2 linked regions of the Cricetulus griseus genome follow. The protein of the gene in region 2 interacts with the protein of the main gene of each other region in a biochemical or structural test. Links are inferred from orthologs where the notes say so. Each region holds a gene or a part of one and is shown on either strand. Other genes may lie near its edges.

Region 1 (3,913 bases), on a different chromosome or scaffold from region 2:
CTTACTGTTTCTTCCTGCTGAGTTATTTCCCACTCACCAATATTATGGAAGGGATGACTTCAAGGTCCCTAGACAAATGGTCAAGTCACAAAAAAAGAAAGGCTTTCTACTGTGTTGCTTTTTCAGAAGAAAGCTAAATCTTTTCACAGAACAACACAAGAAGGCTTCTAGCCTTTGGCCTGTCCACCTTGGAAAGTCCTGCAGACAGCTATTTCATGTTCAGGGCATGAACCAGTGCTGCAGATGTAGGTGGGTAATTGAACCAAGCATCTGTAGTGTTAGGCTGGATGCCAAGGACCGGGAGTACACTCTGGGCCTGAATCAGGAATGCTCTGCTAAGTAGGGTGTCCAGTCTGCTCTTTCCTTAGAGAAGTCTCAGGATGAGACTTCCAGTGTCACTAAACGCTGAGTAGGTAAGGTGCAGAAGGGTAAAAGGACAGGAAACAGTGAAGGAGGCTCGTTAGGCAAGGTATGAATGTAGAATTCAAGGACCAGGACAGTAGGACAGAGGCAACAACTTCAATGAGCAGGTAACCCTTGAGAAGTCAATGGCTGTCTCTTCTCAGAACCTCCATAGTCCTCTAAGCTCCCCAGCTAGGAGCAACTTCCCTTGCCCTGAGCACAGGAGCATTTGCCCTTTTGGACACTCTTAACAACTCTCATGCACCTTGCCTTTTTTTGCAGAAGTGGTGTCTGCAAAACGTCCTAGACCTCCACACCCACTGCTTCCAACCCCGCCCACCCACGCTCCTCTGTTCTCCTTAAAACCACAAGGCCGCAACCCCCTCTGCTCGCGTCATCCCCATGATGTTACATTTGCTAGGTTGAGAGGCTGGGAGCGAGCAGCCACTTGCTGCCCAGCCGTGGGAGTTCTGGGTGACAGCGTGGCCGGCTCTGAGCCCCAGGTGTCAGGGCGGTCGCGGGAGAGCCATGATCTAGTGCACCGCAGTGCCAGCTTCAAGCAGCCTTAGTTGCCCCGCTGCCGCTGCAGGACAGATGATCCCCCGCCCCTCCAGCACAGCTACAGACAAAATAAATAAATAAATAAATAAATAAATAAATAAATAAATAAATAAATAAATAAATAAATAAACCGCTCCGCTCCAGGCCTCTCCCCACTCCATCCCAAACAGGAGATGCCGCACGCTCCTGGCTGACAGCAGAAATGATTTGAGGAAACACTGCACCCAGCCTCCTTTGCCGCAGCTGCCACCGCCAGGCAGCCCTCCAGCGTAGCTGCCTGAGGGTTGCTCGCCCACGACTCCGCGGCTCCCAAACGCCTCAGACTAGACACAGGGAAGTAAACCCCTGGGACCGGCTCCCCAAATCACCTGCATTTGCATTTCTTATGTAATATACTGCAAGTTCCCTGGTTGGAGCCCTTTGAAATCGGGGCGTGTGGTCGCCAGAAGGCATAAGGCAGGGACCCGCTGGTCATCCTGGGACCCACACACAGGGTTTGCACGCCCGTTTGTGAAAGGGAAAGGAACTTAAATGGCATATATTAGAGGGACTGGGGTTGTCCTCTAGGACCTGGTTCCCCCAGGCACAAGCCCTGCTCCAGTGTTCACTGTTCGCAGGCTAGATGTGTCAGAGGCAGACTAGGGAATGAGTTAATAGCACCCAGAGCTAGACGGGGGAGGGAGGCGGGGGCTGACGGAGGAGCCGGGCCATGAAGGAGGGGGAGCTTTTACTTTGCTAAAGGTGATGGGGTGGCGAATATTGTGCAAGCTAATCAGAAAGTCTAAAGCTCTGTCCCCAGAGGAGCAGAAGTAAGGCAAGCTCTCTGCTCTTTCTCCTGGCACAGCCATAAGCCATAAGCCCTTCAATATTCCACCAGACAAACGAGAGACCAAATCCATTTAGTGGGGTTTAAAAAAAAAAAGTTTACTCCTCCCTCCTAGTGATGGATTGTGTCACAGCTAAGAGCTGTTGATCAGGTTTTTTGGGTCCGGAGGAAGCAAATCGGCGGTAGCTACTTGTTTATTCATGCAACACCTCTGTATGCAACACTGTCCGGGTTCCTTGGTGTTCCCTGGCCTCCTGCATAGCAAAACTGCAGACCTAGCTCGGTGAGCAACAGACAGGGTATTACGAGGAAAAACAGAATATGATGCATGCTTTGCTTACCAGTTGGGTTCTTGTTTTTCTTAAGACTCTTGCCACAAAGACACTGCAGCATATGCGTTCCTTTGCTGAAAATGTTCCAAAGAAACCACATTGATTTGGGCGAAAAGCAACCCAGCAGCTTAGACACCCTGAGAAAGAAGAGGCCCTTGTGGTTGCATAATAATAACTTGAAATCAGTTCTCCTGAAGAGGGGCACCGGTTTTACCATAGGAAAAACGTTAATATTCCAGATCTTCTCCCAGTTTTTTCCCCTCACGTGGTATACCTCTTTGAGACTTCTCAGCGATTGTTTTTTCTCGGCCAGGGTGAATGATTTATCCCCTCTTGATCAGCACTGGATCATGACCAAAGGGTTGGAGAGAAAAAAATCCTTTTTCACATGAAGCTAAACCAAAAAAAGCAAAGAAATCCCAACCGAGATCAGAACTAATCAGGAAGAACAGTAATGCACAAAAGATCTCCAAAGAGAAAATCATAGCCTTTTACTCAATGGAACTGAGGATGGGCGGATCTGCAGAAGGCAAGCTGGATTCATCTTAGCGAGAGAAGACTGCCATTGTGTAGCCCCTAGGAGAGAAGGGAAAAAACGGGGGGTGGGGGGAGGGAGAAAAAAAGGAAGAAAGGAAAAAGAAAGAAAGAAAGAAAAAAGAAAAAAGAAAAACAAAACACCACCACACACACTCATACACCAATACCACCTCCGAGATGTATCTGGCCGCCAAAGACTGAGCCTTCCTTCTCCCGCGGTCAATTTTTTTTTTTTCAAAGATAAGCAATCACCAGAGCTCCGTGGGATTGGACTGAAACTGCAGTTCTTAATCACGAAGAGAAGATGTAATGTAGATGCCCCCTCCCCTTGTCAGTCTCGTAGTAGGTAGAAAGCGCCACAAATTTCCTTTCTCCTTCCTTACACTCTTCCTTCCAGTCTCCAGGCACCGTGAGCATGAGGAAAATCTCTCCTCCGTATTTCTCGCCCAGCCTTGGCTGTGAGTTACAGGCATTAGAGGGAGGAGGAGGAGTTGAAGTTTGCATTGAAAAGACTGGCTTTCCATGACGTAGCCACGTGCTTTCAGACCCGTCACCAGTGAGGTGCCTCAACCAGCCCTGGGAGGGACTGTCACTGCAGTGTGTGCCACCCCTCCAGAACACTCCCCTCCACCAACTCCAGCCAGGCCAGCCCAACCCCAGAGACCCTCTTCCTCCTCACCCAGCTCACAGGCCTGCTGCTGGTCTCAAATCCTGCTGTTGAAAGCGAATTTTAAAAGTACAATTAACAATTATAATGAGTAAACCTTAGAAAATACATGGTGGAGGAGTTTAATGCCATTTGCACACAGCCAAAACCAACTCCACTCGCCATCCTCAAAAGCAACATTAAGGCACCTTATATATTAAGGAAAATTCAAGTCCCTTTCTTTCTTGGGTAGTGACTCCCACTTACCGTGCTCATAGAAAAATAAAAGCCAGGTAGATAACCAATACACATTTCTAGAAACAGCCTAATAAAAGGACAAACACCAACCGAACAGTGGTGGCATACACCTTTAATTCCAGAACTCAGGAGACAGAGACAGGAAGATCTCCGTGAAATCGAGGCCAGCCTGGTCCATAAAGTGAATTTCAACACAGTCAGGAATACACAGAAAACCCTGTCAAAAAATAAACAAACAAAAAAAGACAATCACCAAAATCTAGATGAAAGCATATTTTTTGTGGGGAAAGTCATATTTACAGAATAACATTTATGCCTTTTCTAGACAGATAGTCCATTCCTTTGAAATGC
Region 2 (3,813 bases):
TCTTCACTCGCTAGAACTTCAACCCTGCTTTGTTTTTAGGCTGAAGGAAACATGAACTTTGGGACCAACTTGAGTTCTGCTTCTGCCACCGCCCAGGTAAACAAGCCGATCAGGGAAGGTAAGACAGCCTGGCTCTGGTGCAGCTGTGAGGTCCCAATGAGACAACTTGGGGGGGGGGTGACTTTGCAGCTACTCTTGCCCACAGTGACATCTATGTAGCCAGTACTACTGGCAATGACAGCAGCTCTGTGACCATAGCCTCCAGAATGTGCTTAGGTAATTCAGTTACTGTCTTAATCTTAGCCACACTTTGATCACTTCATACTTCACGACAGCCATGCCTGCATGTATGTATCACAGAGGTCAACCTTGGGTGTCATTTCTTAGGTGCTATCAACCTTGTTTTTTGAGACAGGGTCTCCCACTGGCCTACAACCCACCAAGTGGGCTATGCTGGCCAGCCAGTGAGCTCAAGGGGTCTGCCTGTCTCTGCCTCCCCAGTGAAGGGATTGTAACTGTGTATACCATGTCCACAACATGGGTTCTGGTGATCAAAATCAGGTCCTCATGCTTGTACAGTGGACTGGTTAGTTTTATGTCAACTTGACACATGAACTAGTTATCAGAAAGGAGTGAGCCTCAATTGAGAATATATCTCCATTAGATGGGGCTGTAGGCAAGCTTGTAGGGCATTTCTTACTTAGTGATTGATGGGGGAGAGCCCAGCTGGCCTGGGTGAGGCCATCCCTGGGCTGATGGTCCTTGGTTCTATAAGAAAGCTGGCTGAGCAACCATGGGGTGCAAGCCAGTAAGCAACACCATCCATGGCCTCTGCATCAGCTCTTTCCTCTGGGATCCTGCCCTGCTTGAGTTCCTGCCCTCACTGTTTCTGATGATGAACTGTTATATGGAACTGAGGGAAACAAACCCTTTTCTCCCCAGATTGCTTTTGGTCATGGTGTTTCATCATGTTAATAGAAACCCTAGTGAAGATATACAGCAAATCATTTTACCAGCTGAGCCATCTCTCCAGGCCATTGCCACATTTAAAAAACAAGTTTCTTTTGCTTTTCCTGGTAGATGTTGAATCCCTTGAAAGCAAATCAGATTTCATCTCCTGCCTCTGGGCTGCAGCATTTACACCCAAGAGGGCTGGGAGCACTCAGTGGAAACACTACCCATGCGCCCTGCCAGGCAGGTCTGCGAGAAGACTGAGGAGTACAATGGGGTGGGATCTGAGAGGCACCTGCTCACCCTAAATTCACCCCCTTGTCCCTCTGCTGGCCCTGCCCACTCACCCACAATGGAGAGGATGACCACCACGAAGTCAAAGATGTTCCAGCCGATGGTGAAGTAGTAGTGCCTCAAGGCAAACATTTTGAGTACACACTCGCAGGTGAAGAAGATGACGAAGACCAGATTAATCCAGTAGAGAATGTTCTCCATCTGCTTGCTTTGGGTGTCTGTCTCCACCATCATTGTCACCATGTTAAGGCAGATGAGCATCATGATGACAATGTCAAAGGCTTGCTGAGTGACAAAATCAAAGACGATCCCTTGGATTTTGTTCTGCGAAGGAGAGACGGGAGAATATTAGCTCAAGACATGCTTCATTTGCTTAAGGTGAGGGATATTTGCTTAATGACACAAACATGGGCTGCGTTCTTTTTTTTTTTCTTTTTTTTTTTTTTTTTCGAGACAGGGTTTCTCTGTGGCTTTGGAGCCTATCCTGGAACTCACTGTGTAGACCAGGCTGGTCTTGAACTCACAGAGATCCGCCTGCCTCTGCCTCCCGAGTGCTGGGATTAAAGGCGTGTGCCACCGCTTGTCGGGTTGCGTTCTTTTATGTTGCATTTGTTTAACTGTGAAGCTGTGTTACTTTGCCTGCCTAAAACACCTGATTGATCTAATAAAGAGCTGAACGACCAATAGCTAGGCAGAAAGAATAGGTGGGGCTGGCAGGCAGAGAGAATAAATAGGAGGAGAAATCTAGGGAAGAATGAGGAGCAAGAAAAGGAGGAGAGGAGGACACTAGGGCCCAGCCACCCAGCCACCCAGCCAGCCACAGAGTAAGAAGGAAAGAAAGACATATAGAATAAAGGAAGGTGAAAAGCCCAGAGGCAAAACATAGTTAAAGAGAAATGGGATAATTTAAGTTAGAAAAGCTGGCTAGAAACAAGCCAAGCTAAGGCCAGGCACTCATAAGTAAGTATAAGTCTCCCTGTATTTATTTGGGAACTGGGTGGCAGGCCCTCAGAGTGAAAAACCAACTATATTTGGCCAGTGTTCTTACCAAAGGGCGGGGAATGGGCTTCTGGGGTTTTTTGGAGCCCAGTTTCTTCATGGCATTGTAGTACTTCTTCTGTTCCTCTGTCATGAAGATGTCTTGACCTCCAAAGTAAAGAAAGGATGAAGAAAGGACAATTACAACTGGCTCTGGTGGTGCAACTGAGCATCTAGGTCCAGCACCGAGAATGGAGAGGCTCTCCCTCTAGAGGTCAGGTTGGTGGGGGAGCTCTCCTGCAGGGAGCACTCCTGGGCAATTACTCCAGCTTGGGTGTCTGAGATCTTCCAGGCCACACAGTGAGATGGGACTGTTCGACTTCAGCCTCTCAGGGCAGAAGTGGAGAGCAAGGGACCAGAAGATAGCCACATCAAGGGGAAAACATGTATTTGTTTGTTTGTTTGCTTTTGTTTTAAGAGTCTCACTATGTAATCCTGTATGGCCTGGAACTATGAAGAGAGATCTATTTGCCTGCCTCTACCTCCTGAATACTGGTATTAAAGGTGTGCACTGCCATGCCCAGCACCCCCCTCCTCCAAATATTTAAAAACAAGATTTTTGAGTGCCAAAAATGGTGCACTTGCTTTTTATGAACTTAAAAAATTGGACCATGTGGTTCTCTTAACTCACTGAACTTATGCACAAGAGTAAATCTGTCATCCAGTTTGCTTTGGAAGAATCACTACCCATGTGGGACAAGTGATGAAAGGAACCCTCTGAGGGTTGCCTTGAAATCCCACCGTGACTACTTCTGTTTCTCACCATAGCACTATCTGCTTCTTTTGTCCCTCCCTCTGGTAGAAAGCTCTAACAATAGTGGCCTCAGGAATGTGAGATCTCAGGGAAATGTGGTTAGCCACACACTGCCAAGTGCAGCCCCAAACAAAAGGGGTTGCTGCCGGGATACCAGGGCCAGTGCTACCATGAGGTAGCAGTCTGAGTTTTAGAGGAAGATAGAGTCTCCCTAGAGACAAGGCCAGTGTGCCTCTCATCTGGGTTGACCTCTGACCACTGGCAATGTGGGGAGGAGACCTATCTTTTTCTTTTGTTGATTGAAGTTATCAATGATGACACCAATGAACAGGTTGAGGGTGAAGAAGGAGCCGAAGATGATGAAGATGACGAAGTAGATGTACATGTAGATGTTGTCCTCGTATTTAGGCTGCTCATCAGGCTGCGGAAGGTGGCAAAGAGGCACTCAAGTCAGTTCCTGCCCCCGGGGTTGTTGGGACTGGGGCTGACTCCAACATGCCAAAGCTACCAGCCTTACTCTCCCTTCATGTGGCTGCCAAGCTGGGGTGGAAGCTGCAGGTTCTCTCTGCTCTCCCCTGGCCCACCTGTCCTTCAAGGGCATTGTCACTTCTGGGGCTAAAGAGCAGGGAAGCAAGGGAGAGGCAGTGAGGAAGGACAGAGGATAGTCGCTGCCACCAGGGTCAAGTGAACAGCAGGGTCTGGACGTGGAGAGCCAATGTGTGAGAAGGAAAAAGATCTACAGTCAACATGACAGGCAGCTGGTGTCCAGAGAGACA

Evidence for each region.
Region 1: the proteins of Scn8a (region 2) and Fgf14 form a complex in vitro, tested with the Homo sapiens proteins (2 studies listed by BioGRID). The link is inferred for Cricetulus griseus from reciprocal best matches to the Homo sapiens genes SCN8A and FGF14.

What each region holds. Positions count from the first base shown.
Region 1 is NW_023276807.1:274,269,948-274,273,860, forward strand, and holds the start of Fgf14 (fibroblast growth factor 14), read right to left. Parts: upstream 2,339-3,913; coding exon 2,131-2,338; intron 972-2,130; exon of another isoform or gene 685-971; intron 1-684. UniProt on the Homo sapiens protein: Probably involved in nervous system development and function.
Region 2 is NC_048595.1:397,474,127-397,477,939, reverse strand, and holds part of Scn8a (sodium channel protein type 8 subunit alpha), read right to left. Parts: intron 3,459-3,813; coding exon 3,321-3,458; intron 2,399-3,320; coding exon 2,294-2,398; intron 1,570-2,293; coding exon 1,299-1,569; intron 1-1,298. UniProt on the Homo sapiens protein: Pore-forming subunit of a voltage-gated sodium channel complex assuming opened or closed conformations in response to the voltage difference across membranes and through which sodium ions selectively pass along their electrochemical gradient.